7 linked regions of the Danio rerio genome follow. The protein of the gene in region 7 purifies or fractionates together with the protein of the main gene of each other region. This does not show direct contact. Links are inferred from orthologs where the notes say so. Each region holds a gene or a part of one and is shown on either strand. Other genes may lie near its edges. The genes, in order: fibpb, cdkn1a, pcna, tmem94, cables2a, cables1 and cdk5.

Evidence for each region.
Region 1: the proteins of cdk5 (region 7) and fibpb purify together in Homo sapiens (affinity purification with mass spectrometry; 7 studies listed by BioGRID and IntAct, counting the BioPlex papers as one, with this or other methods). This does not show direct contact. The link is inferred for Danio rerio from reciprocal best matches to the Homo sapiens genes CDK5 and FIBP.
Region 2: the proteins of cdk5 (region 7) and cdkn1a purify together in Homo sapiens (affinity purification with mass spectrometry; 5 studies listed by BioGRID and IntAct, with this or other methods). This does not show direct contact. The link is inferred for Danio rerio from reciprocal best matches to the Homo sapiens genes CDK5 and CDKN1A.
Region 3: the proteins of cdk5 (region 7) and pcna purify together in Homo sapiens (affinity purification with western blotting; 3 studies listed by BioGRID and IntAct, with this or other methods). This does not show direct contact. The link is inferred for Danio rerio from reciprocal best matches to the Homo sapiens genes CDK5 and PCNA.
Region 4: the proteins of cdk5 (region 7) and tmem94 purify together in Homo sapiens (affinity purification with mass spectrometry; 5 studies listed by BioGRID and IntAct, with this or other methods). This does not show direct contact. The link is inferred for Danio rerio from reciprocal best matches to the Homo sapiens genes CDK5 and TMEM94.
Region 5: the proteins of cdk5 (region 7) and cables2a purify together in Homo sapiens (affinity purification with mass spectrometry; 6 studies listed by BioGRID and IntAct, with this or other methods). This does not show direct contact. The link is inferred for Danio rerio from reciprocal best matches to the Homo sapiens genes CDK5 and CABLES2.
Region 6: the proteins of cdk5 (region 7) and cables1 purify together in Homo sapiens (affinity purification with mass spectrometry; 7 studies listed by BioGRID and IntAct, counting the BioPlex papers as one, with this or other methods). This does not show direct contact. The link is inferred for Danio rerio from reciprocal best matches to the Homo sapiens genes CDK5 and CABLES1.

Annotation. Positions count from the first base shown.
Region 1 is NC_133196.1:27,046,622-27,049,320, reverse strand, and holds part of fibpb (acidic fibroblast growth factor intracellular-binding protein B), read left to right. Parts: intron 1-764; coding exon 765-873; intron 874-951; coding exon 952-1,015; intron 1,016-2,699. UniProt on the Homo sapiens protein: May be involved in mitogenic function of FGF1. May mediate with IER2 FGF-signaling in the establishment of laterality in the embryo.
Region 2 is NC_133197.1:620,015-622,947, forward strand, and holds the end of cdkn1a (cyclin-dependent kinase inhibitor 1), read right to left. Parts: coding exon 2,612-2,933; intron 2,061-2,611; coding exon 2,005-2,060; 3' UTR 501-2,004; downstream 1-500. UniProt on the Homo sapiens protein: Plays an important role in controlling cell cycle progression and DNA damage-induced G2 arrest. Involved in p53/TP53 mediated inhibition of cellular proliferation in response to DNA damage.
Region 3 is NC_133185.1:46,058,752-46,062,802, forward strand, and holds the start of pcna (proliferating cell nuclear antigen), read right to left. Parts: upstream 2,801-4,051; 5' UTR 2,539-2,800; coding exon 2,318-2,538; exon of another isoform or gene 2,265-2,317; coding exon of another isoform or gene 2,233-2,264; exon of another isoform or gene 2,043-2,232; intron 1,839-2,042; coding exon 1,741-1,838; intron 1,319-1,740; coding exon 1,251-1,318; intron 744-1,250; coding exon 549-743; intron 1-548. Other genes in the region: E3 ubiquitin-protein ligase TRIM69, read left to right, coding at 2,233-2,264. UniProt on the Homo sapiens protein: Auxiliary protein of DNA polymerase delta and epsilon, is involved in the control of eukaryotic DNA replication by increasing the polymerase's processibility during elongation of the leading strand.
Region 4 is NC_133187.1:35,542,304-35,545,803, forward strand, and holds part of tmem94 (transmembrane protein 94), read right to left. Parts: intron 1,862-3,500; coding exon 1,757-1,861; intron 1-1,756. UniProt on the Homo sapiens protein: Could function in the uptake of Mg(2+) from the cytosol into the endoplasmic reticulum and regulate intracellular Mg(2+) homeostasis.
Region 5 is NC_133198.1:33,838,653-33,842,775, reverse strand, and holds the start of cables2a (CDK5 and ABL1 enzyme substrate 2), read right to left. Parts: upstream 2,801-4,123; 5' UTR 2,793-2,800; coding exon 2,263-2,792; intron 1-2,262. UniProt on the Homo sapiens protein: Unknown. Probably involved in G1-S cell cycle transition.
Region 6 is NC_133177.1:4,629,900-4,633,399, reverse strand, and holds part of cables1 (CDK5 and ABL1 enzyme substrate 1), read right to left. Parts: intron 3,141-3,500; coding exon 2,933-3,140; intron 1,320-2,932; coding exon 1,179-1,319; 3' UTR 1-1,178. UniProt on the Homo sapiens protein: Cyclin-dependent kinase binding protein.
Region 7 is NC_133199.1:37,952,665-37,956,164, forward strand, and holds part of cdk5 (cyclin-dependent kinase 5), read right to left. Parts: intron 2,772-3,500; coding exon 2,697-2,771; intron 2,263-2,696; coding exon 2,166-2,262; intron 2,085-2,165; coding exon 2,015-2,084; intron 1,248-2,014; coding exon 1,187-1,247; intron 1-1,186. UniProt on the Homo sapiens protein: Proline-directed serine/threonine-protein kinase essential for neuronal cell cycle arrest and differentiation and may be involved in apoptotic cell death in neuronal diseases by triggering abortive cell cycle re-entry. Interacts with D1 and D3-type G1 cyclins.

The sequences.
Region 1 (2,699 bases), on a different chromosome or scaffold from region 7:
GTTTCAAAACAGCTTTACGAAAGGTGCAAAATAATACATTACAACAAAATTAAGTTCAAGTTACTATCAAATATAAGTTATTATATCTAAGCATAGTTAACCTGCAGTTTTGTAGTATATAGGTGATGTCTACGTGTACATGTGCAATGAAGTGTATTAAGTGTATGTTTTGTCCTTAAAATTCTCTCTTCACAGGCCTTGGATCCCATATAAATGTACTCGTTATTTATTTGCCTTCAAGTGGTTCCAAACTCATTTGAGTTTTATTCTTATGTGGAACTCAAAAGAAGATATTTTGAAGAATGTTGAAAACCGATAACCATTGACATCTATAATAGGAAAACAAATACTGTGGAAGTGAATGGTCACAGTTTTCTGCCAATTTTCAAAATACCTTCTGTTCAGCAGAAGAAAGAAACTCAAACAGGTTTGAGACAAAGAAAGGATGAGTACTTTTAATTTTGAGGTGAACTACTGCATTAAGAACCAAGCATATGTCCCTGTTTGCACCATGTATTAACAAGTGTTTTAGTGATCTGATCACAAGTGTGCAGCGAGATACCACCTGGTTTACTACTACTAAATCACATTATAGTGAGTGTTTTTTATGTGCAATAGTGAATGGCAAAAATTTAAACAAGCTGAGAGGTGATGTACAGTATGACCATTTTTTTTTCGGAGAAGATTAATGGTTGAAGGTTTCACAAAACAAAAGATCTTTGAAAGGTGATAACATTCTTGTTTTCTTTCTGATACTTTCTCAGACAACATGATTGAAGATATGGACGTTGATCTTGAAAAAGATTTTCTACATGACTTGAAAGACTTGAAGGTCTTGGTGAATGATAAGGACTTGCTGGACCAACACAAAAGGCAAGCAAGTTAATTGCCAGATGTAATGGTGTGGACATGTGCTGTTTCTAACATTTCTTTTCTCTTTGCCAACACTAGTTTGGTGTGTGGACAGCTTAGAGGGAAAATAAAAGTCTTTAATGAGATGGAGGCCAGTTTTAAGGTGAGCAGCATGTTTTTTTAATTGTAAAGTCATATATAGATGATGATTTTAAATATATTGGGAATAAAATAAATGCAAAGATCAAAAGTGCCAGCAACAAGAATAGAGCAGTTTTAAATAAATGATTTTCTTTTAAAAAAAATTATTCTTTCATCAAGTGATCCTGAAAAAAGAATGGTAAAGGAACACTCTTTTTTTTGAAAATAGGCAAATTTTATTTCCCCTGCAGTTTAATTTTAGTTTAGCCATTTTGAAATTCATTCCACTAATATTCAGGTCTTTTGGGGGCAATTTTAGCTAAGCTTAGCATTAATTATTGAATCAGAATAGACCATAGCGTTGCACTCAAAAATGTTCATATTTAAAGCTTGGCTATTCTGTGGTTACAATGTGTACTAAGACTGATGAAAACTGAATAGTTGCTATTTTCTAAGTTAATTTGGCTTTGAATTATACCAGGGTTTCCCCATATTAATCAAGCAACTTTGCTGCTGTATTATGGCTGAAGCAGGAACAATGATGTTACACAGATTCTGCTGGTGCAAGTGTTGCGCTTGGTGATGGGGAGTATTTTCATGCACTGTGAAATATCATTGTGCCTGCTACAGACATGGTGAATCTACAAAGGATGGTACAAAACACAAAATGGGTCAGTTTAGTTTCTAATCACAATCTGGTATTGTAACACTAAGAAATAACATACATCAGTATAAAATACATAGTTTTATAATCTACAATTTACAGTATTTAAAAAAAGCTATTCTAAAAATTTAAAAAAATCTGAAATTAGGCAGATTTTAGGAAATCTGAGATTTTGATACAGTAAGATGAGGGAAAAGTTAATTCTAACCTCTAATATAAAAGAATAAACATAAGACTTCATATCTTTAACTATAATATTAGACTGAGCTCTTGTAGCTATAGCTCAGGGCTCTAGATTAATTCCTTCATTCATTTATATTTACATACATATACAGTCGAGGTCAGAATTATTAGCCCCCCTTTAAATTTTTTTGTCTTTTTTAAATATTTCCCAAATGATGTTTAACAGAACAAGGAAGTTTTCACAGTATGTCTGATAATATTTTTTCTTCTGGAGAAAGTCTTATTTATTTTATTTTGGCTAGAATAAAAGCAGTTATTAAATTTTTAAACCCCATTTTAAGGTCAAATTTATTAGCCCCTATTAGCAAATTTGTTTTTATTTTTCGATAGTCTACAGAAAAAAACATTGTTATACAACAAATTGCCTAATTACCCTAACCTGCCTAGGTAATCTAATTAACCTACTGTAGTTAAGCCTTTAAATGTCACTTTAAGCTGTATGGAAGTGTCTTGAAAAACATCTAGTCAAGTGTTATTTACTGTCATCATGGCAAAGATAAAATAAATCAGTTATTAGAAATGAGTTATTAAAACTATAATGTTTAGAAATGTGTTGAAGAAATCTTCTCTCCGTTAAACAGAAATTAGGGGGGGGGGGAAATAAACAGGGGGACTAAGACTTCAGGGGGGCTAATAATTCTGACTTTAATATATATAATATATAATTCATGAGAGAAACACACACAAGCAATTATTGAGTTTTGGTGGCATCTTGAACAAAAATCTTTAAAATGGTAAAACATGAAGCATGCAAGAAATGTTGCCTTAGTGAGTGAATGAATTCAACAGCTAGGCCTAT
Region 2 (2,933 bases), on a different chromosome or scaffold from region 7:
TTGTTTCTTCGAATTCCAATTTTTTTCGTTTGCATCTTGGAATTCATACTTTTTTCTTGGAATGCTTAGTTTACATGTTGAAATACGGTTTTATTTTTTTGCTTGGAATTCAAAGTTTGCATCTTGTAATACTGCTTTTTTTTTAGTTCTGATGTTATGTTTAAAATTTACAATTCTGGCATCTTTGCTTGGAATTCCCAGTTTGCATCTTGAAATACTGACTTTTTTCTTGGTATTATCAATTCACTCTTCAAAATTCCAACTTTTTATTCCTTTGAATTCTGAGTTGGAATACTGACTTTTTTTTCTTGGATTTGTAAATCCACACCTGATAATTCTGACAAAATCTGGGTTTTCATCTCACAATATATATTTTTTTGTTTGTAATTTTTACTTCTCCTAATTCTAACTTTCATTCTTCAAAATCTAAATTTACATCTCACAATTCTGAACTGTTTCCTAAAGGAATTCTGACAATTAAAAAAGTAACAAGAAACCAATTTTATATCATAAACAGCTTTATTACAAGAACAATTACATGTAAATCTACAATACAATATTAATCTGTAAAATAAATACAGCATATATTTTGAGCTCTTTAACAATAACAGACCTGTGCAAGCTACACTACTCCAAAAAATAAAAACAAAACAAAAGAAACCCCAAGTGCAATTCTCAATCGACGGCGAATTATCCAATAAACAGGATATTTACAGACGGGTCGCAGAAAACAAGCAGAGTTCTAGAGCTGGTAAAGAGCTGAATGCTAAACTTCAGAAAGCCGACAGAGCTGAGATCTTGATTAGGAAACACATGAAAGCTGGTGTTCGTACTTCTTATGAAGTTTATTTTAATGTATTTGTAGAGCGTTTGTAAATATGATGTAGTGTCAGCGTTCATGGAGCAAGAGCAGAACACACTTCTGCGCAAATTCGTTACGAAAAATGCTGTGTTTTAACAGTCTTTTGTGGTCTAATCTGATCTATGTTGTATTAAAATTGAAATGCGTAAAATTGCGTCAATTCTAATTCTCGAATTGACGTTTCACGCAATTAGATTTTCACGCTAAACCTAATGCAACAAAATAATTTCACGAATAAATTGCGCAAATAATTATTTAATTCTTTGTAAAAAAAATGTGCATGTTAATTTTCAGTTTTTTTTATTTCTTATTTTTTAACTTTTTTTATTGTCATTGCAATATTTCTTATATATTTGGTAGAATAAGTTTGTTGCTATAATTATTCTTAAAGCATTTCTATACTAATTCTGTACAAATTTAACAAAAAAAAATGTTTTCCAAAAGATTTGCATAATTCTTACAACATTTTGTGCACGTAAACTTTAAGCCTACATTTATTTCAACACAAAAACTGCATAAAAAAAATTGTGCAAAAATGTTTTCGTTAAAATAAACGCAAGAATGAATTTGTTCTCTCAGTTCTATCTGCTCGTGTTTCATGAACGTCGCCAAGTGTTTTTTTTTTAAACAAAGTTTAATGTAGTAGAAAAACGTAATTGCAGCTCAATTACGATAAAGATGTGAGAACTTACTGGCAGCTTCATGAAGGTTTATGTGTAAAATAACATAAAGGGTTAGAATTATAAATAGAAGAAGAGGAAAAAACAACATTTGGCACCAAATGTTTAGAGTTTTAAAACATTAGCTACGTTTTGTGCAATAAGGCAATGTGAATATGTGCACGCTGAAATAAAAATCAGCGCTTTATATTGTTCGTAATGAAACAGTTGTCATGATTCTGTGGTCCCGTCGAGAGACAATCTCTGGAAGACTGAGGAATGGATCTTTCCAGAACATTTCCACTTGTAAATGTTAACCGTTGACATAAAACGGTTGAAATAAAAACGGAATAAACGGTGTCGTCTCTGGTTCCTGAAGGTCGTTTTCTGTCAATAACGCTGCTACGAGACGAATGCAGCTCCAGACAGATGAAGGTAGATGCAGGTCAAGAGTTTATCTGTGTGTGTGTGTGTCTCCTTCAGCTACTGGCCGGATTTGCGCGGCGTGGCCACTAGACGCTTCTTGGCTTGGTAGAAATCTGAGAACAGAGAGACGATATTATTTGTTTATTATTAGTCGAACTCACGCTTTAAATTTACATCAGAATACAAGCAGTTTAATATTACTACAATAATACTACACTCAGTGGTTCATTATTATAACAAAAAAATTAATTCTAAATTTGTATTAATGTAAAAATATCTATCAATATGCGATTATGTATATAATTCAAATATGCGATAATGTAAATCAATCTGTGTCGTGTTTGTTAGCTGAAGTTTTTGGTTGATTAAAGTACAATATAAAATAAATACGCAATTTAAAAAATGCATTAAAATATAAATATTAGATGAAAAATTTAAAAACAGAAACTTAAAACTTTACATCTAAAAATTCAACACTTTTAATAGGGTATTATAGAAAAATGCATAAAAGCAGATCATCAGAGAGTTGCATTATAGAAACACTACGACATTTATTTATTTATCTTTCTTTAATTTTTGTTATTTAAAAAAATAATCAACAAACAAACATAGCTATATACATAAATAATAACAATACTAAATAATAATAATAAAGAGGTCTGACCTGTGATGTTGGTCTGTTTGCGCTTCAGCTCGCTGCTCTTCTCTGGGGTTTTCTCCACTTCATGCGGGAGTGCAGCACATCGTTCTGGTGTTTTCGGGATGTTTTCCTTTCCAGCGGCGGACTGTCCGGGCTGATGAGCCTCACAGGGCCGTTTCTGCTGCTTTTCCTGACACGCGCGGTACAGTAGTGGCACGCGCACGCCGGACACGCCCTCCCAGTGGAAGTCTCCGCCCTCTAGTGGTTTCTCAGACGCAAAGTCGAAGCTCCAGCGTCGCGATGCGTCCTCCAGATCGCGCCGTAGCGCCGCCCGGTACTCACGCTG
Region 3 (4,051 bases), on a different chromosome or scaffold from region 7:
TCTGATAAAATCCCAGATAATTATTAAATCACTTATAACCTACTCTTTTAGGGTAGCTTTTTAGATTTATTATTATTGTAAGCGTTTGATTATATTCATTGCATTTTTTTTGCATTCATCCTGTATGCATCTTTAACAGCTGCACATTATGTCTGTAAAGTGCCCCGAGATGCTACTTTTAAAGGTGCTAAATGAAAATAAAGCTGCTTATTATATAAATCTGATCAATCAGATGGGGCCTTTACTACCTTTAGCCCCGCCTCCTAAGTAGTTGCTGTTCTGCTATTGGCTGGATTGGCTTAAAGGTGAAATCAGAGCTAAAAAATGATTCTCACTAATAGTGCTTTAAAGACTAAAGGTTTGCATCTTGACAGTTTTAAGTCTGAATTAGATCTGGAAAATATATTTTACTTGTTTATTGCAAAATCATGAAATAATTTTTTTAAAACAGCTAATTAAATTGACTTTTTCAGAGAAATGTTTGATTATAGAATATATATTGCATATTTTTCCCAGTATCGTGCAGCCTTAAATGAATAGTATGTTACCGCTTCATCCTCCTTGTCGACGTTGCTGGTCTGTGAGAGCTTGATGTTGCCTGTGCCCAGCTCTCCGCTGGCAGAGAACTTCACGCCATCCTTGGCACACGAGATCATGACAGCATCACCAATCTGTGACAGATCCCTGCAGATGCGGGCAAACTCACCCGACGGCATCTTCACCACACAACTGTATTCCTGCTCCTGAGGGGAAGAGAATAAAGCATGATCATTGCAGACAAACATCCACGATCATATCAGAAATAAACAGGAATCAAGAGAGGGAAACTCAATAAACTTTAAGACCTCATCGCCATTTTAGGTTTTAACTTAACATTGGTGACAATTCAACTTGTAGTATATTTACTAAATACTGATTGTAAGAAACGAATCCTAAACTAAATCGGTCATGTACTGAATAAAAATGCTAATCCCAACAGATGGCACCTATAGAACAGCAGGAAACATAGGCTTGCCTTTATTACTGCAGTAGACAAAGCAGTGTGATGCCAAATCTAGCAGGATTTTATCAATTTCATAAACCACACAGATTAAATTTAGGCAAACTTTAGCACACAACTACACATTATATAATCATAAAATGACCAAAACAATTATATCTTGTAAAACAACAGTTAAGGCTGTTTAATACCAAATTGATTTATCAACTTTTAATGACCCTGCAGACACCCTGTTATAATAAAGTCTTACTGGAATGCCAAGCTGCTCCACATCCAGATCCATCAGTTTCATCTCATAGTCGGACACTTTCTCTTGATCTGAAATGAGATGTAAATATTAGTATGGATTATTAGCTCTCCAGCAAAACTTAACTTTTGGTTTCATAGTAATAGTTGATAACATGGTGAAGAAAATCCATACTAGAAGCATTTTTTTTATGTGATGTTATTAACCACAAAATGGCTCCAGTATCTATGCGAATTTCATTCTTACATTTTTGGAGAAAATTATTATTAGAAAATTATTTTTAAATATTAAGTATTAATTATTTAGCTTAACTTTAATGATTCATTTTAAACCAAAGCCCATGTTTTTAACAGGTATTGCTGATAAATCGATATTAAAATACTGCAAATATAAATTTAGCAACATAAAATAAATTCATAATAAAAAAAAGTTTTTTTTAATTGTACACTATCAAAAGTATTGCTATTCCTAGTTTAAAAAGAAGTTAACTTACTGAGCGTTTCAAAGACCAGTGCCAAGGCGTCAGCATTGTCTTCAGCTCTGAGTGTGATGATGTCTTCATTTCCAGCACACTTCAGAATCTTCGACATGCTAGGAAACAGATGAATAATAATCAAAACACGTTCACTTCAGGTAGAAAAACACCATATTGATCGTAAAATGGTTTACCATTTACATTCGAAACAGTCATGGCATACACAAAAAGTGTCTAAGCAGGTTTTCTTTGTCTAACACCAGAGCCATGTTGTCATTCAGCAACCCGGCATTTTCTTTCCCGCCAACAAGCTTAAGCGCGCGCAAGTGACGTCACGATCAGTAGAGCGTGGGACGAATGCAGGAAACTGCGCGCCAAATTAAACTGATAGCCTATTTAAAACACAACCGTAAAACGGCATACTTTAATAACAACTACTGTAAATAAAATACTTTTGTCACTTTATAGTCTAAAAATGGCGCGCTGCTGTGTAGAGGCGCAGCCCCGGGCATGCGCAGACATGTTCAAACTTCACTCACCAAGTAAATACGAGTCAAATAACACAAAAGGCGCTTGATTTAGTCAGTGATTTTACCTGCTCAGATTGACCCCCATGGCTAGGTTTCTGTCGCAGCGGTAGGAGTCGAACCCGTCACTCCGGAGCGTCAGCTGCACCAGAGACACATGAGAGGAGTCCATACTCTGCAGAGAAATGCCCGACGAGCTCACATCCCAGCAAGCCTCGGTGATCAGGTCTTTCAGAGCCTCCAGGACCTTCTTAAGGATAGATCCCTGAACCAGACGTGCCTCAAACATTGTGCTGCTTTCTTAGTTTAGAGTAGGAGGAACTAAAGTTATCTAATCCTGTTACGACACAAGCTGCGGCCTGGTTAACTGCTTGTTTTCCAGCACAGGAAAGCAGAATCCTAAACTATCCTAGAGTTTAGCAGGTACTAATGCAGAGGAGGCACGGTGCAGATGTGCTGTCCACTGTTCTGGCGAGGCTCTGAATGTAACTGCGCGCGCTTTCGCCGGGATTTTGTTAAACTGACCCACTGTTGCCTTCGTCATTTCCGCTGACGTTTGACTCCTCCTGGAACGCAGACAGAACTGCGGACACTGACCAAAAGAGGGCGCAATTTGGTCAGAAGGTATGAGTTATTCACAACATTTATGAATACCCATTACAGTGCGTTTTAATAACCTTTACCCCCACCCAAACCCTAAACTGACCCGTCACTGTGGTGTAAAATATTATATATTGTCGTACAGTGTGAAAAATGATGCTATGTCAACGTGCGCATGCCCAAGTATCCACAACTGTATCCCTTTTTTTGTTTCTTTGACAAATTACTGTGCTGTTGCTAGAAGGGATACAGCTACGGTCGGCAGTTAACGAGAATTATTTATAAAATTTATAAATACCCATTACAGTGCGTTTTAATAACGTATACCCCCTAACCAAACCCTAAATTGACCAGTCACAGTAACGTAAATTATTAATTATTGTTGTGCAGTTTACCAAAGATCAGACTATGTTGATGTGCGCATGCCCAAGTATACGCACCTGTATCCCTTTTTTGTTTCTGTGACAAATTACTGTGCTGTTGCTAGAAGGGATACAGCTACGGTCAGCAGTTAACGAGAATTATTTATAAAAATTATAAATACCCATTACAGTGCGTTTTAATAACGTATACCCCTAACCAAACCCTAAATCGACAAGTCACAGTAACGTAAAATATTAATTATTGTTGTGCAGTGTACCAACGATTGATGTTGATGTGCGCATGCCCAAGTATCCGCAACTTTTTGTGTAACACATGTTTTGTTGCTAAAGGATATAGCTGCGGTCTTCAGTTAACAATAACTACTTATAATATTTATGAATACCCATTATAATGCTTTTTAATAACGTCTACCTTACCCAAATCCTAAATCGACCCATCACAGTAACGTAAAATACTGTTGTGTCACAAAAATCATGCTATGTTGATGTGCGCATGATCAAGTATCCCACAACTGTATCCCTTCTTTTGTTTGTGTAACACATTTATGTATGTATATATATATATATATATATATATATATATATATATATATATATACATACATACATACATACATATATGTGTTACACAAACAAAAGAAGGGATACAGTTGGGGATACTTGAGCATATATATATATATATATATATATATATATATATATATATATATATATATATATATATATGTATGTATGTGTGTGTGTGTGTGTGTGTGTATGTATATATATATGTATATATCTATGGTGTAACTGCAGGTGCGGTCTTCAGTTAAGGATAAT
Region 4 (3,500 bases), on a different chromosome or scaffold from region 7:
CCAAATCCAAAAAAACTATGTACTTTAATCCATGATGCCTTATTTTTATTTCATTTAAAATTTAAAAGATGCCACTACCATGACTAAGGTCCACTGCTTCCGTCAAATCACGTTAAAAAGAAATTAACAAAGTAAACAAAAGTACTTTTAAACCTATATGACTTTCTTTTTTGCTGTTACTGCTCTTGTTGAACACAAAGTGTAAGCTATTTTGAAGAATGTAAGAAACCTAATGCCATTGACATAAATTTATAGCAGTAAAAAAATATTACTGAAGTGAGGGGCTATCAATATTCAACATTCTTCAAAATCTCTTTTTTTGTGTTTAACAGAAGGCAGGTTTGGAAAATGTGGTGACGAGTAAATGATTACAGAAGTTTATTTTTTAGGGTGCACAATTTCAGTAAAACTAAATCAGATTAGAGCGATACCAAAAATGTAAATTCTGTCATCGTTTACTCTCCCTCCACTTGCTCCAAAGCTGTTCCTTCATTCTGTTGTAACTGGTTAGTCGTTGACTACCACAGTATTTTTTGTTACTACTACAGATGTCAATGGCAGCTGGTTTCTAACATGCTTTAGAACTTTAGGTGCGTCCCAAAATCACATACTTGCACACAATTCTTCGCCATTTTGTAGTATAAATAGTTTAAGTAGTGCATTCACACTGAAAACTCTAAAAATAATAAGTGCACTTTAATTACGTTGATGATGCACTTACTCAACCGGTAAATTTAAGTGTGGAATAATGGACACTTAACACACTCAACATTCGCAGCTTTGCTCGCATAGTAAAAGGGGCAGAGCTCTCGGGCACACATATTTGATAACTTTATTTATTTTGGATTGTGAAAGCAAAATTCTGATACAAGATTGATTATAGCGCTTTCCGATGGTGAATGTGGTTATACGCATGGCAGGTCTTATTTGGTACTTTGGTCCTTTATTTCACTATTTTGGCAACCGTCAAATGTCATCTGGGAAACGGTTTGAATTTCCTCTTAATAAAACAACGTTAGTGTTCCATTTGGGACAACACGACATACATATACTATGCTGTTGAGTGTGTAAGTGCATATGTACATAGCATGCCATTTGACACAGCGAGTGTTTCTCAACCATGTTCCTGGAGGACCACCAGCTCTGCATATTTCCATGTCTTCTTAACCAAACACACCTGATTTAGATCATCAGCTCATTAGCAAAGACTGAAACCCCTGTAATGTTTGTGACAAACAAAGGAGAAATCCAAAACATGCAGTGGTGGTGGTCCTCCAGGTACGTGGTTGAGAAACACTGCTTTAGAATATCTTGTTTTGTGTTCAACAGAAGTAACAAATTTAGAAATGTTTAAAACAACTTGAGTGTGAAGAAATAGTGCGGAAATGTTCATGTTGGGTAAACTATCCCTTTAAGAGTTTACCACACAAGTGCCACAGAAATATTGTAAACATTGATAATCTATTTAACGGCATTTAAAAGACAGCTAAGACAGGATGTACAAGAATATGCACTTTAAAGATGTTTATGTTTAGCCTATTTGTAGGATTCCACACATGCTCTCGTCTTATTCATTGTAAACACTTGTTATTTGTTTTTACAACTGCTCTCCTCAATGTCAGCTCCTTCTGTAAATTGATTACAAGGTTCAAATAAAACATAAGTACAATCTTAAAGTGAACATTAATTATTTTTTCCATCAATCTAGAAATAGGAAGTCTAATATCTCGTATGTGACGCCAGGGGGAGCACTCACAGTGACTGAACCCAATGTGTGCAGCAGACTGGAGGTATAACACAGGGTCTGGGACTCTCCCTTCAACACACTGACCAGGTGTCTCCACACACAGCGTAGCATCTCCTGTAAACATGCACACATAACACACACACACATGCGCACAACATGAGTCTCATATTCAACAGAAACTCAAATCCATCTATCAGCAGCTCTTGGTTTCGAATGGCTCTGCAAAAGTGTCAGGATTTATGAAACCTGAAACCTGGTTCAAAACACAGACACAGACACGCGCACACACGTACACACGTACACACACATACGCGCAGAGTCTGGGTAGGTTAAGCAGGAAAAAAAGCAGTGTTATCCTATCCAGTCTTGGGTTTATCCAGCTGCATTTAGAAATTAAGTGGAGTTTCATTAAAGCACAAGAACAAGATTAATGCACCTTGCAGCAGAAAGCAGTAAAAGGGAGAGGGGAAATTGAATTGACTGAATGACTGGAGGTTTAGAACTTGAAGCAAACAAGTTGAAGCTTGAGGCAGCAGCTACAGGAGAGCAGCACTGCGGGAACTGAAGATGGTTAGTTCTTGGCATTAATATGAAGTCTATGTAAAATCAAAACTGTCCACATTACAAATGTCAAATATTGTCAATAAACAATCAAATTGCTTTTTTAGGTTATTAGGCAAAAACTGTACATGTGTGACATTTAAAAAACTGTTTTAATCAAGATTTTAATTTTAATTTCACACTCCCAGTGTTAAGGGTAACATATTACATGTAACACAAGTTATATAATAATATTAATTTTCTAAGTAGCAAGTACAGTAATGCATTACTTTTAAAAAAAAAAAGTAATAATATCGGAGTTACTTTTTTAAAAATGTAACGCGAGAAGGTGTAGAAGGTGATTGTCTTCAGAAACATTTTTTGTGATGGTTGAAAGTCTCTCTACACTGCAATAGTGATAATTAAAGTAAACGATTTAAATGTGTTTATGTATTTTTATATTCTAGGTAAGACATAAAACCAAAAAAATGTTCATCCAATTTAATATTGTCGAGCTGATAATTCCCATAATTCTGATAAGTAGCCCAAACTGTCTGTCAGCAAATATAGATTTGAACAACTGCGCATCTGTTTGCGCAGATCCGCTGATGCACGGTTCACACAGACATCGATCACGTGGACACGAGTGAGAGTGTGAAAAACAAGTGCTCAATCAAAACTTTAAAATTTTAAAATTTTTCAACTTTAATCAATATTGCATATTATTGTTAACAATAACAATATTGTTATTTTTGCATTTGGGTATTTCTTTTAGACAGGTAATGTTCTCTTTTAAATTGTTTTAAAATTTTAATTAATTAAAGTATTTTATTCATCCAAAGCCTATGTAGATGTTGTTACAAATGGGTTACATGCACAGAAGTGTTGTTCAGCCACTGATCTCCACCAGTGAACAATTGATGTGACAATTTTCAATTTCATAAGAGACCTTTTACAGCATTGATAATGTAGATTTTTATTTAGTTAAACAACAAAACATAAGTAGATAGCGCTATTTCACCTAGCTTGCTTTACTGAGGTGAAGTTGGTTTTATATTCACAATGGTTCATTGTTGAACAATGACAGCCTGTGATGCGCTCCCTATATTGTTGACCAGGCTACTCTGAATATTCTAGTCTGAAATAGCATGCAAGTATGGTTTAGTAATAAGTGTAATTCCTGCACGCCGCCAGCCAACTACTAAGCATACAG
Region 5 (4,123 bases), on a different chromosome or scaffold from region 7:
CGAGAAGTGCCATGGGATTTTTAATGACCACAGGGAGTCAGGACCTCGGTTTAACGTCTCATCCAAAAGACGGCGCCCACTGACAGTGTAGTGTCCCCTTCACTTTTACTGGGGCATTAGGACTCACGTAGACCACAGGTTGAGCGCCCCCTGTTGGCCTCACTAACACCACTTCCAACAGCAACCTAGTGTTCCCTAGTGGTCTCCCATCCAGGTACTAACCAGGCTCAACCCTGCTTAGCTTCAGTGAGTAACTGGTCTTGGGCTGCAGGGTGATATGGCTGTGGCCATATCCAAAGTCCAAAGTCACCAGGGACATACATCCTGGATTATCTTCTTCACATGTTTGATTTTTTTACTCGTCTATATTTCAGTCTGGCCTCCTATCAGACCATATCATACTTATGTTAGGTTTTTAAACCTTTCTGACCTATGCTCAGGGACTAAAGGGACTAGCATTCCACACTCCTTCGGCTGTGTCCCCTCGTATCAGTTACACAATTTCATAGAAAGATAAAATAACAAACATCAAAGTAGTCATGCATGGTTTAACTGAGAAATTAATATATATGAATTTTCACCACATCATCAACACTTGAATAGCCTGATTCCTGAACAAATCTGTATTAGGATGTTCATACTACTTGTTCAAATGTATTCATTTATTTAATCTTGGGAGTCCTGGAGTGTGTGACATGCACATTGTATTTTTTTTACGTAAAAAAAAAAAAAACTTTTATGAAGTTTATTTTATTTAAGAACATTTGAATATGCAAAACTGTTTTGCATCATGCTGGGTTGTGATGATATTTTCTCAGCTGAGAAAGCTTATAAAATGTGTTAACACTGAACCAATGAACTACAATGGGCAGCATTGTTAGTATGAAAAGTAATACTAGAGAGGTCACTCCTTTGTGGTCAAATCTTATGACATCATGTCCTGGTTAGTTTAGATGTGTTTGATTGCTCTTGTGTTCATACTTCAGTTAAACCATGACAGGGTTCATTTGAAACTGGACTGAGACCCAAATCTAAGTTAGTGTCATGGTGTATTAGACGTTGTGTAGAAATTAACCAATTTAATACTGCTTTATGCTATAGAAAGTAATATTTTATTAGTTAATTTACAAAAATGCAGTTACAGAAACACTTTTAATACATGCTAAATACTTTATATTGATATAATGAATGATATAGATTGTTTTAGAAAATGTATTTTTAAAAGGATACATAATTTGATTATCTCTAAAAGATCATCATCATATTTTTTATTTAATGCCGTGTGAGCAACAGAAACTATTTTTAAGGCATTTTTTTATTTTGTTATGAATAAATATTCAATTATCACTGTTACGTCAGACATGCATGACTTCAGACATTAATTAACGTATTTGACCCTAATTATTGCATTAAGCTGCCTTGGAATGTTCAGGTCTTGGAGTGGGACTTGGGTTAAAACAAAAAAGAAAGAAGAATACTGTAATATATAATAATAATAATAATAATAATAATAAAACGTAGTTTTCCTTCAAGAAATAAATATTCAATTACAAAACCACAAACATGAATACAAAATTAGATAAGATTTTAAAGGTTAATAGATGATAGAACTTTAAAAAACATTAAGTGACAAGTTGCTGAATATCTTCTTGCCCTCTTACATATAAATAAAAAATGTCTTATTTAGTATTTGCTAGCGATTTCTTTATAATAAATAAAGGATTAAGGTTAAGGATTCAGATTCTGAAATGAGTATCATTTCCATACCGACATGCTTATCAAATATCGCAGAAATATTTCCTGTCAAACTCTTAGACAACTTAGAAAACAACTCAAAGATGAAAATGAAAGTTTGACAATAAGGCGGAAGTCAGCATTTCCCCTCATAGATTATTTTGTTTTGTTTTTGACACTGTAATATGCACCGTTTAAATCTCCACTGCCTCAAAGTCATAAACGATTGTAAACATTGGTTAAAAGGCCAGATTCAGTTATGGCTGTTTACTTACATGACACAACATCAAACCAAAGTCCCTTTATAGTCTGATCAAACACGAAATAGGATTTGTGAATAATCTTTTAGCTTGCCAATTACATATCCAATTGATGACAAATACACTTATATAGAGGTTTGTGTATGTCTAGACTGAACATTTGCCCCACAATCTTTATAAAATATGTAATTTACGCTTACAATGCGTTACAAGAAATCAAATACGCCTGTCATTGTTTGCTAACCTGCGTGAAAAAAACAAAACCAACCTTTGACGCGGATCAGGCAGAGGGTTAGAGCTCGGGAACTGGCTGGGGGATTTACTGGATCCCAAAGCCGTATTCCGAGGTCCAGCGGTCGGTGATAGAGGGGGAGCCTGGACTGACAAAGGATCTGATCGTCCATCCTCCGTGAAAACGTCGCTGCTCCCTTGGTTAAGCGCCGGAGGAGGGCTCATAGGAGCAGGGTAAGTGTTAACGTTAGTCCTCGGTATAGGGGTAGCAGCTCCTCCGCTAATGGAGGATGACACTTGGGTGAAGGTTCCGTAGCTGCTGGTTGTCGACAGAGGGAGACCCGCCACCGCCGCGCCGACATCCACACACCGGCTGTCGACTTCCCTGGGGCCAACGAGTCCATTGCTCAGGTTGTAAACCGGGCGTCCATCTAAAGATATATTAGTGAGAAACAACAACGCCGCTTGTCTGCGACGAGAATCCCGGCTTTTTCGCAGCAGTTCTTTGTGTGGTTTGGCTGAATTAGTCCTCGGACAGCCGCGAGGACCGCAAGCGGCGGCCGCCATTCTACTGTGAGTAAGCTAAAAGCAGACAGAGCTATTACACCGGCGGAGAGACTAGCCACGCCTTCTGTCTCCTGATTGGTTCGAATTCCTGACAGTTGCATATAAATGAGTTTTTACTGTAGCGGATTGGACGAGAGGTCTTGGTTCATAAATTTGTACAACAATTTGGCTTCAAATCTGCAGACGAGACGACGCTAGGAATTTTAGACATCTGTTGCTTTCTATGATAAATGTTACATTTCAATTAGAGTTAAACTTATGTCTGCTCATTTATGTACATTATTTATAATGGTATATATACACACATATGAAAAAAACAACAACTCTGGCTTCATTGGGTTTGAATAAAATGTTAACATTTGTTTTATTGTATATAACATATTTTTATTTGTTGTGATTGGAAATATAGGTTTCCCCTTTAAATAGTGTCTTAAAATAAATATAAACCTTTCTCAAAATATTTATTTTTGTTATTTTATGTAAATAATAATAATAACAATAATGTTAATAATAATAATAATAATAATGATAATAATAATAATGTTATTATTATAAATAACTAAATATATTAATGAATGAATGAATGAATGAATGAATAACAACTTACCCCACTGTACTCACCTTATGCAATTTAGATTTGTCAACACAATACATTTGCAATTATTCGTTCATTTTCTATTATGCAATTTGAAAATGTATTTACAATATAATGCTCTACTGTATTTTGTAATGTCAGAATGTCTTTATTGTTATATGATGCTGCAAATGTAAGCCTAGGTTTTTCTAAGCTCATTCCAGGTGTTGAAGCTTATCTGCAAAGTCCACTATGTTATATAAATAGACTGACGTCTGTAACAGCTCATAGGATAATAAAAAAGGATAAAGAAAAAAGCAATTTCCGGATACTTTGGTTTGATAAAATGTTGGCAGCAAGAGCCATAATCAGAACTTGATTATATGTATTTCTCAGAATAACCACTACTGCTTTATTTTCTTTATTTTACAAAACCAAACTCATTAACATATGCATTTGTTTGCTATTATTTAGGCAATTGTTTGAGAATAAAATATGTCTGAGAGTGCTACTTCTGAGCTGAAATACACTTGCAGTTCCACATTATGTGATGTAATCGGGCTTCAGCTAATATTTTATAATCTACTGATCCTCTGTTAGCAGGGAATTAACCTAATCTGCCTGCTCAAAATACACTCAAAAGTTTCGAAATGTTAAGATTTGTCAATGTTTTGTAAGTCTCTTCCATGAACCAATGTTGCAATTAATTAAAAAAGTAATTGTTGTGTAATATTTTTTCAATTCACTGTTTTCATGT
Region 6 (3,500 bases), on a different chromosome or scaffold from region 7:
CTAGCGGGAAGTAAGCCTTAAAATCAGGGGTGCCCAAACTCAGTCCTTAAGGGCCAGCGTCCTGCAGATTTTAGTTGAAACTTGCCTCAACATACCTGCAAGGATGTTTCTAGAAAGCCTGGTAAGAGCTTGATTAGCTAGTCCAGGTTTGTCCAATTGGGGTTGGAGCTAAACTTTGCTGGACACCGGCCCTCCAGGGGTCGAGTGCGGAATAATACCTGTCGGGAGCGTGACTTAAAAAAAAAAAAAAGTCAGTCTCTTAAAATGAGCCCTAAAACGAGGGGTGCCCAAACTCTGTCCTGGAGGGCCGCTGTCCTGCAGATTTTTATTCCAACTTGCCACAACTGCAAGGACGTTTCTAGAATGCCTAGTAAGAGATTGATTGGCTAGCCCAGGTGTCTCTGATTGAGCTTGGAGCTAAACTTTGCTGGACACCGGCCCTTTTTAAGCCCTCTGCTTAAAATAAAGTGTGTCTATAAATTCTTTCCAAGTAGTGCTATTTAATTATTAGGTGAAATTGTATAGATGCAATATATCGCAGTACATATGACAGAAAAACTTTATATCGCAATGTCAGATTTTTCCAATATCGTGCAGCTCTACTTGTTCACTACTGTTTTCTGTAAAAGGTTTTATTTACACTGTACGGTCAATATTTCGGAATTTCAACGTGTTTTGCATATAAAACCAAGCGATACAAGTTTGGCGTGTTTTTCATTTTTGGATGAACGTTGAGTCTTCTACTTAAAAAAAAAACTACGGCTTCAGAACAGAGCACTGGTCAAACGGACCAATTTTGTCGCGTTTTTGTAGCTCGCCACTGTATTGAAAACATCAGCGATTTCTACTTTTGTGTTTCATCGAGAAAAAAAACAACCTTATTCGAACAACATGGGCCGATCAAATGCTGACAGAACCCTCAGTATGTCTAACACCTGCAAGCAGGAAAACAAATGTTCCCAGTTAACTGAGAAAAATCAACAGTCTAGGAAAGAGGTCTTCCCTTTAGAAAGTAGCTTCTTCAAGTCAAAACGAAAGAGCTGTCACTTTGGCCGAAAGGAGAACAGTGGAATAGTGTCTTCGTTCCAACATCTGGAGATGATCGTTGGCGATGTGCATAGGGTTTTTTTCTGGGGGAGATCAGGAGAGACGCTGGGCTTCTCCTGATGGGGCTGTCGCTAGGAGTTTTGCAGCAGGCGTCTGTAATGCGGCATGACTTCGTGCTCGGGGAGGTGCAGGTTGAACTCTAGAGCCACCAGAACTGGGAACTCGAAGGCGATCAGCTCTCGACGGTTCACCCTAAACCTCTCCTCCAGTTTCTAGATGGAAAGAGATCAGGGGGTTTCGTTACATAACAGTAATCGAAGACAACCCTTACACAACAGCGGAACGTCTAAAAATACACCCTATTGAGATTTAAAGAATGCCTTTTTTCCCTCTACAATGTCTGATTTTAGTCTCAGGGGGCCTATTTTACTGCTGTGCAAAAGGCAGAAAGTTTGTTTATGGCCAAAAATGAGCTGCTGATATGTGCTAGTTGCCAGATTTTGTTTTATTATTTTATTTTTATTATTTACATGTTCCAACTCCACGTTGTGGCAACTTGTGGTTACATTTTTTTGTTGTTGTTTATGGCTGAAAATGAGCTATTGATATTTTTGTGGCATTGTTTTTCTGGTTGCCAGATTTCCAGTTTCATTGTTTTGTTTTTATTATTTAACGTTGCAACAAGTCTTCGTTGTCGCAACATGTGGTTACCTTTTTTATGGCCAAATAAAATACGTTCACTAATTAGTTTAATTGATTTTCTTGGTTGCCAGATTTCCAGTTTATTATTTTATTTTTACTATTTACATGTTCCAAGTCCATGCTATCGCAACATGTGGTTACATTTTTTTTTTTTTTTGCGGCTAACAATGAGCTATTAATATCTTATCTTGAGTTAGTTCCATTGTTTTTCTAGTTGCCAGATTTCCAGTTTTATTATTTTATTTTTATTATTTACATGTACCAAGTCCACATTGTCGCAACACGTGGCTACTTTTTTTGTTTATAGTTAACAATGAACAATTGATATTTTTGGGACATTCACTAGTTAGTTTAACAGTTTTTCTGGTTGCCAGATTATTATTTTATTTTTAGTATTTACTTGTTGCGACAAGGCCACGTTATCACAAAGTGGTTATATTTTTTTGTTTATGGCTGAAAATGAGCAATTGATATTCATGGGGCATTCGCTCTTCTATCAAATGAACAAGTTATCTTAAGTAGCTTTAATTGACTTTCTAGTTGGAAAGATTTCCAGTTTTATTATTTAGATATTGCGATAAGTCCACATTGTTGTGTGTTGAGCTATTGACGTTTATGGAACATTCACAAGTTAGCTTAATTGTTTTTCTGGTTGCCAGATTTCCAGTTTTATTATTTAACATTTTATTTTTAATATTTACTTGTTCCAAATCCAGGTTATCGCAACAGGGTTTTTTATTTTAATTTATTGTCGAAAATGAGCTATTGTTATTTATGAGACATTTACTCTTTAATCATATAGACAAGTTTTCTTGAGTAAGTTTAATTGTTTTTCTGGTTGCCAGATTTCCAGTTTAAGTGTTTAGAATGAAGTCCTTTTTCTCAGTTTCACACTCTACAGATTTAAATGACTCAAGCTATTGAACACAGAAGAAAATATTTTAAACAATGTTTCAATGAAGGAATAGATAGCCATTGACTACTACAGTACAAAAAAAAAAAATACCATGAAAGTCAATGGTTACAGGTTTCCAACATTCTTCAAAATGTCTCTGTTCTGCACAATAAGCAAATCCCAGCCAGTTTTTGCGTCTCCTTGCAATCCTTCGGTTGTGTTCCATGTTATTTGCATGTGTGGTGACAAAATGCGTTATCGATGCTACAACAATATAAATAAACTTACGTCGATCAGGAGCTTGACTTCATGTTTCTTCAGGTCTCCTCCAATCTTGGCTGCGAGGAGGACACAGGCTCCGGCGCAGAGTTTGCGGTTCTGTTTGTTGAGTTTGCCCTGAAGCACCAGCTTCTCGAAGTAAACAAAGGCCATGGCCACTGTAGACTCCTCATAGCCGAACTCCTCCTGGGTGAGTTTCCGGATCTCTCTCTTCAGGCTACAACACCAAACACAATGCCACATACTCAACTCAATGCTCTAGTATGGAGCCAGATATGGTCTCAAGAAGAATACATTTGCAAAACAAAAGTCGCACAATTCACATTTACACAATCCAATTGGTAAAGTCAAAACACAATTCATAAATGCACAAATCCAATTCATAAATTAAAAACACAATGTGTGAATTCACAAGTAAAAATCATACATAATTCCACAAATGAATCAGATTTATGAGTGAGTATTGAATTAAAAAATTTAGTTTTGAATTTAGCATCCGCTGCGTAAAGCATATGCTGGATAAATTAGCGGTTAATTCCGCAGTGGCGACCCCAGATTAATAAAGGGACTAAGCCGA
Region 7 (3,500 bases):
TTATTTTTTTACAATTATTATAGATGTTTTAAGGGCGACACGGTGACTCAGTGGTTAGCACTGTCGCCTCACAGCAAGAAGGTTGCTGGTTCGAGTCACAGCTGGGTCAGTTGGCATATCTGTGTGAAGTTTGCATGTTCTCCACGTGTTGGCATGGGTTTTCTCTGGGTGCTCCGGTATCACCCTCAGTCCAAAGACATATGCTATAGCTGAATTGAATAAACTAAATTGGCCGTAGTGTATGTGTGTAAAAATGTGTGTATGGATGTTTCCCAGTAATGTGTTGCAGCTGGATGGGCATTCACTGTGTAATTCATATGCTATAAAGGGACTAAGCCGAAGGAAAATTAATGAATGAATAGATGTTTTAAGGCTGTAGAACCCCTCACTGCACACTTTATAGGCTTTTCTCAGACAGGCATCAACATTTTTCCTGCAATCACTGATACTCAAAGCTAAATATATATACCTGTATCCTGCACTTGCTGCTGTTGCACTGCTGGTTAGACCTAAACTGCATTTCGTTGCATTGTACTTGTACATGTGTAATGACAATAAAGTTGAATCTAATCTAATCTAATCTAATCTAATCCAAAGCAGACTCCATGCTTACGATGGTCTTGTTGCAGACAGTTACAACCCTTATTGTAACTTTGTTGAAGCTTATAGCTGCTGTCATCTTTATGTTATTTCCGTCCTTTTTTATGTAAAGAGCCGAAGATTTATTTATTCCGTAATGGTGTCCTACAGCTACGAAACTTGTCTTTATCATGTCTAGAAGTCCAACTTTTTGTGCGATAAGTTAGCATCTACTTCAGCCTTTTGGGTACTTCCGCAGGTGCCTTTGACGGTGCAGGGATTTGTAGAGAGAAAACTTGCAAACATACTTCAGAGTCACACTGCTTGATTTATGTTAATTTTAGCAAGCTGAACGCATTTTGTACTGTACAGGAGACGGCACGGAGGAGATGGTCTACAGCCAATCAGGACGCAGAACACAATGTGCTAATCAGGACGTAGAACACAATGCGCTGTAAAAAAAGTGTCTAATTATACAGAGAAAATCTGCAAGGCTGTGAAAGGTGAACCGCGAGAGACCACTGTATTTCTCAAATTGCTCATTTCTGTGCACACATTCCCCTTGTTACTGTGCGCTGTTTATTTTTCAGACAGGTGAGTGATGTACCTTATAATCTGGAAGTTTATTCATAGTCTGCCACTGTTCTTCTGTTGGCGTTCCCAGCAATGTGGCAGAATGTTAAAGTTAATCACACAGGTTATTATTATAAAAACTACCACCACTCACCCTTTATTAATCTGCCTACTTTTAGCAACAAGCTTGGCAACTTAATTATATTACTTGGCAGAGGAATTATGAAGAAAATGCTAATTTAACCCAAAAGTGAGAACAGTTGCCTTGGTAACTAACTGAAATGTATTGCATTTGAATCACTTAAAATAAATAAATAATTTATTATTATTATTAAGTTGAAATAATAGTAGAAACCTGAGATATTAACTTGAGGTAATATATATATATATATATTTTTTTTTTTATTAATATATATATATATATATATATATATATATATTAATAAATATAATATATATATATATATATATATATATATATATAACATATATTATATATATATAATATTATATATATTATATATAATATATATAATATATATTATATATAATATATATAATATATATTATATATAATATATATAAATTGAATATTAAGGAAAAGTCCATTTATTTTAATAATTTGTTTCATAAAGTGAAACTTGTGTGTTATTAGTTTACTGTTTCATACAATTTCATGTCAACAGAAAAAAAACATGACTTATTTTACCCTTGTTCATATATACACACAGCAAAACCCCCAATGGAATTACTACACATATAACCACCAAAAAAACTTTGTTAATAACAATTATAGATAAATAACAGTAGTACTGTTTTATCCATATTAATCTTAAAAGGATCGTCTGGATGTAAAGGATATCGAAAGATCCTCTTTAGCTGATCGTCCACATCGTTACCAGGAAATAAAGGCCGTCCTGCATTTGCCAGTTCTACAAAAAAATTATAATAATACTTTATATACTATAGTTATTATCAATATTACAAGACAATAAAATAGTGTTTTGTTGTACCTGCAAATATACAGCCTGCAGACCACATGTCGATAGAGGTAGAGTAGAGTTTAGCACCAAACAGTACATCCGGAGGCCTGTACCACAACGTCACCACCTGAACAAAACCAACAAAAAGATTAAAACTGCTATAGTCTACACGAACCGGAAGTTACTGAGACTTTTATTAGAGTAATGCTGATGTACTTCTCTCTGAAACTGAATAATCATTAGGGGGCGGGGCTTCCTTATTTTGCATAATTTCCTCAAAGCCACTAAAAGTAAAAGGGGCGTGGTAAAGAATATTGTGGCTGAAGCCGTCAAACTGATGTCAACAGAAAAGGAGCCAATCCAAATGCAGAAACAATTGCTCAGACTTTGATTGAAGATTGAAGACCAAAACAAACTTATTTGTTTAACGAATTACTTACACTGATTAATTGTTCACCCAAAGAACAAGAAAGTGCGCTAGCAAAACAAACATTGTACATTTTGATTTCATGTAGACCTGGAAATAAAACCAACAATATAAAGAAAAGTGGCGTCTCTGACCTCAGCAGAATAACAGCGTACAGGGATCCCAAACGCTCTGGCCAAGCCGAAATCAGCCAACTTCAGTTCCCCGTTCTGAAGACAACACAAAAATACAGAATTAAAGAGAAAGCGCTTTTAGTAGCACAAGCAGAAATAAAACAATTCCAACTTGATTATGGTGCCTTACACACTCAGTGCTGGGATTAAATAGTTACAAAGTTACTTTAACAGATTACTTATCATTTTAGGTAAATTAATTACAGTTTAACTATAAATATGGTACATTGAAAGTTAACCATTTCAATTTATTTAAAGGATAAGATGAAACTAATCTTATTTTCAAGAGGGTCCCATAAAGACATGACAAAAGACAAAAGCAAAACAAAAAAGGTACAATTACAAACACAGTTTACAGGTCTGTAAAATCGTCAATATCCAAATCCAGCTAACTCAGTGATCCACGTACGAAGAATGGACACCCAGTCGGGACAGTGTATGTATATATAGTGTGTGTATATATAGTGTGTGTATTTACAATAGTCAACATTTGAAGGGGATCATCGGCTTTCAGCAAATTTGTCCAAAAAAGATTGAACATTCTTGTCAATTAAAAATAAATGAATAAATAAAAACTAAAAACTTTAAGATTTTTTTAAAATAAAGCTAAAAATGCTCCATTTGACTTAAAAGATTTGAGAGTTTAACTTACACTTTTTAAGCTTTGAGATTTTCTGAACCCAAGTAATCATATGTAGTCAAGTAATTAAATGACTTGAGTAATGAAGCAAAGTAATAAGAATATGAAGTAATTTAAATACAATT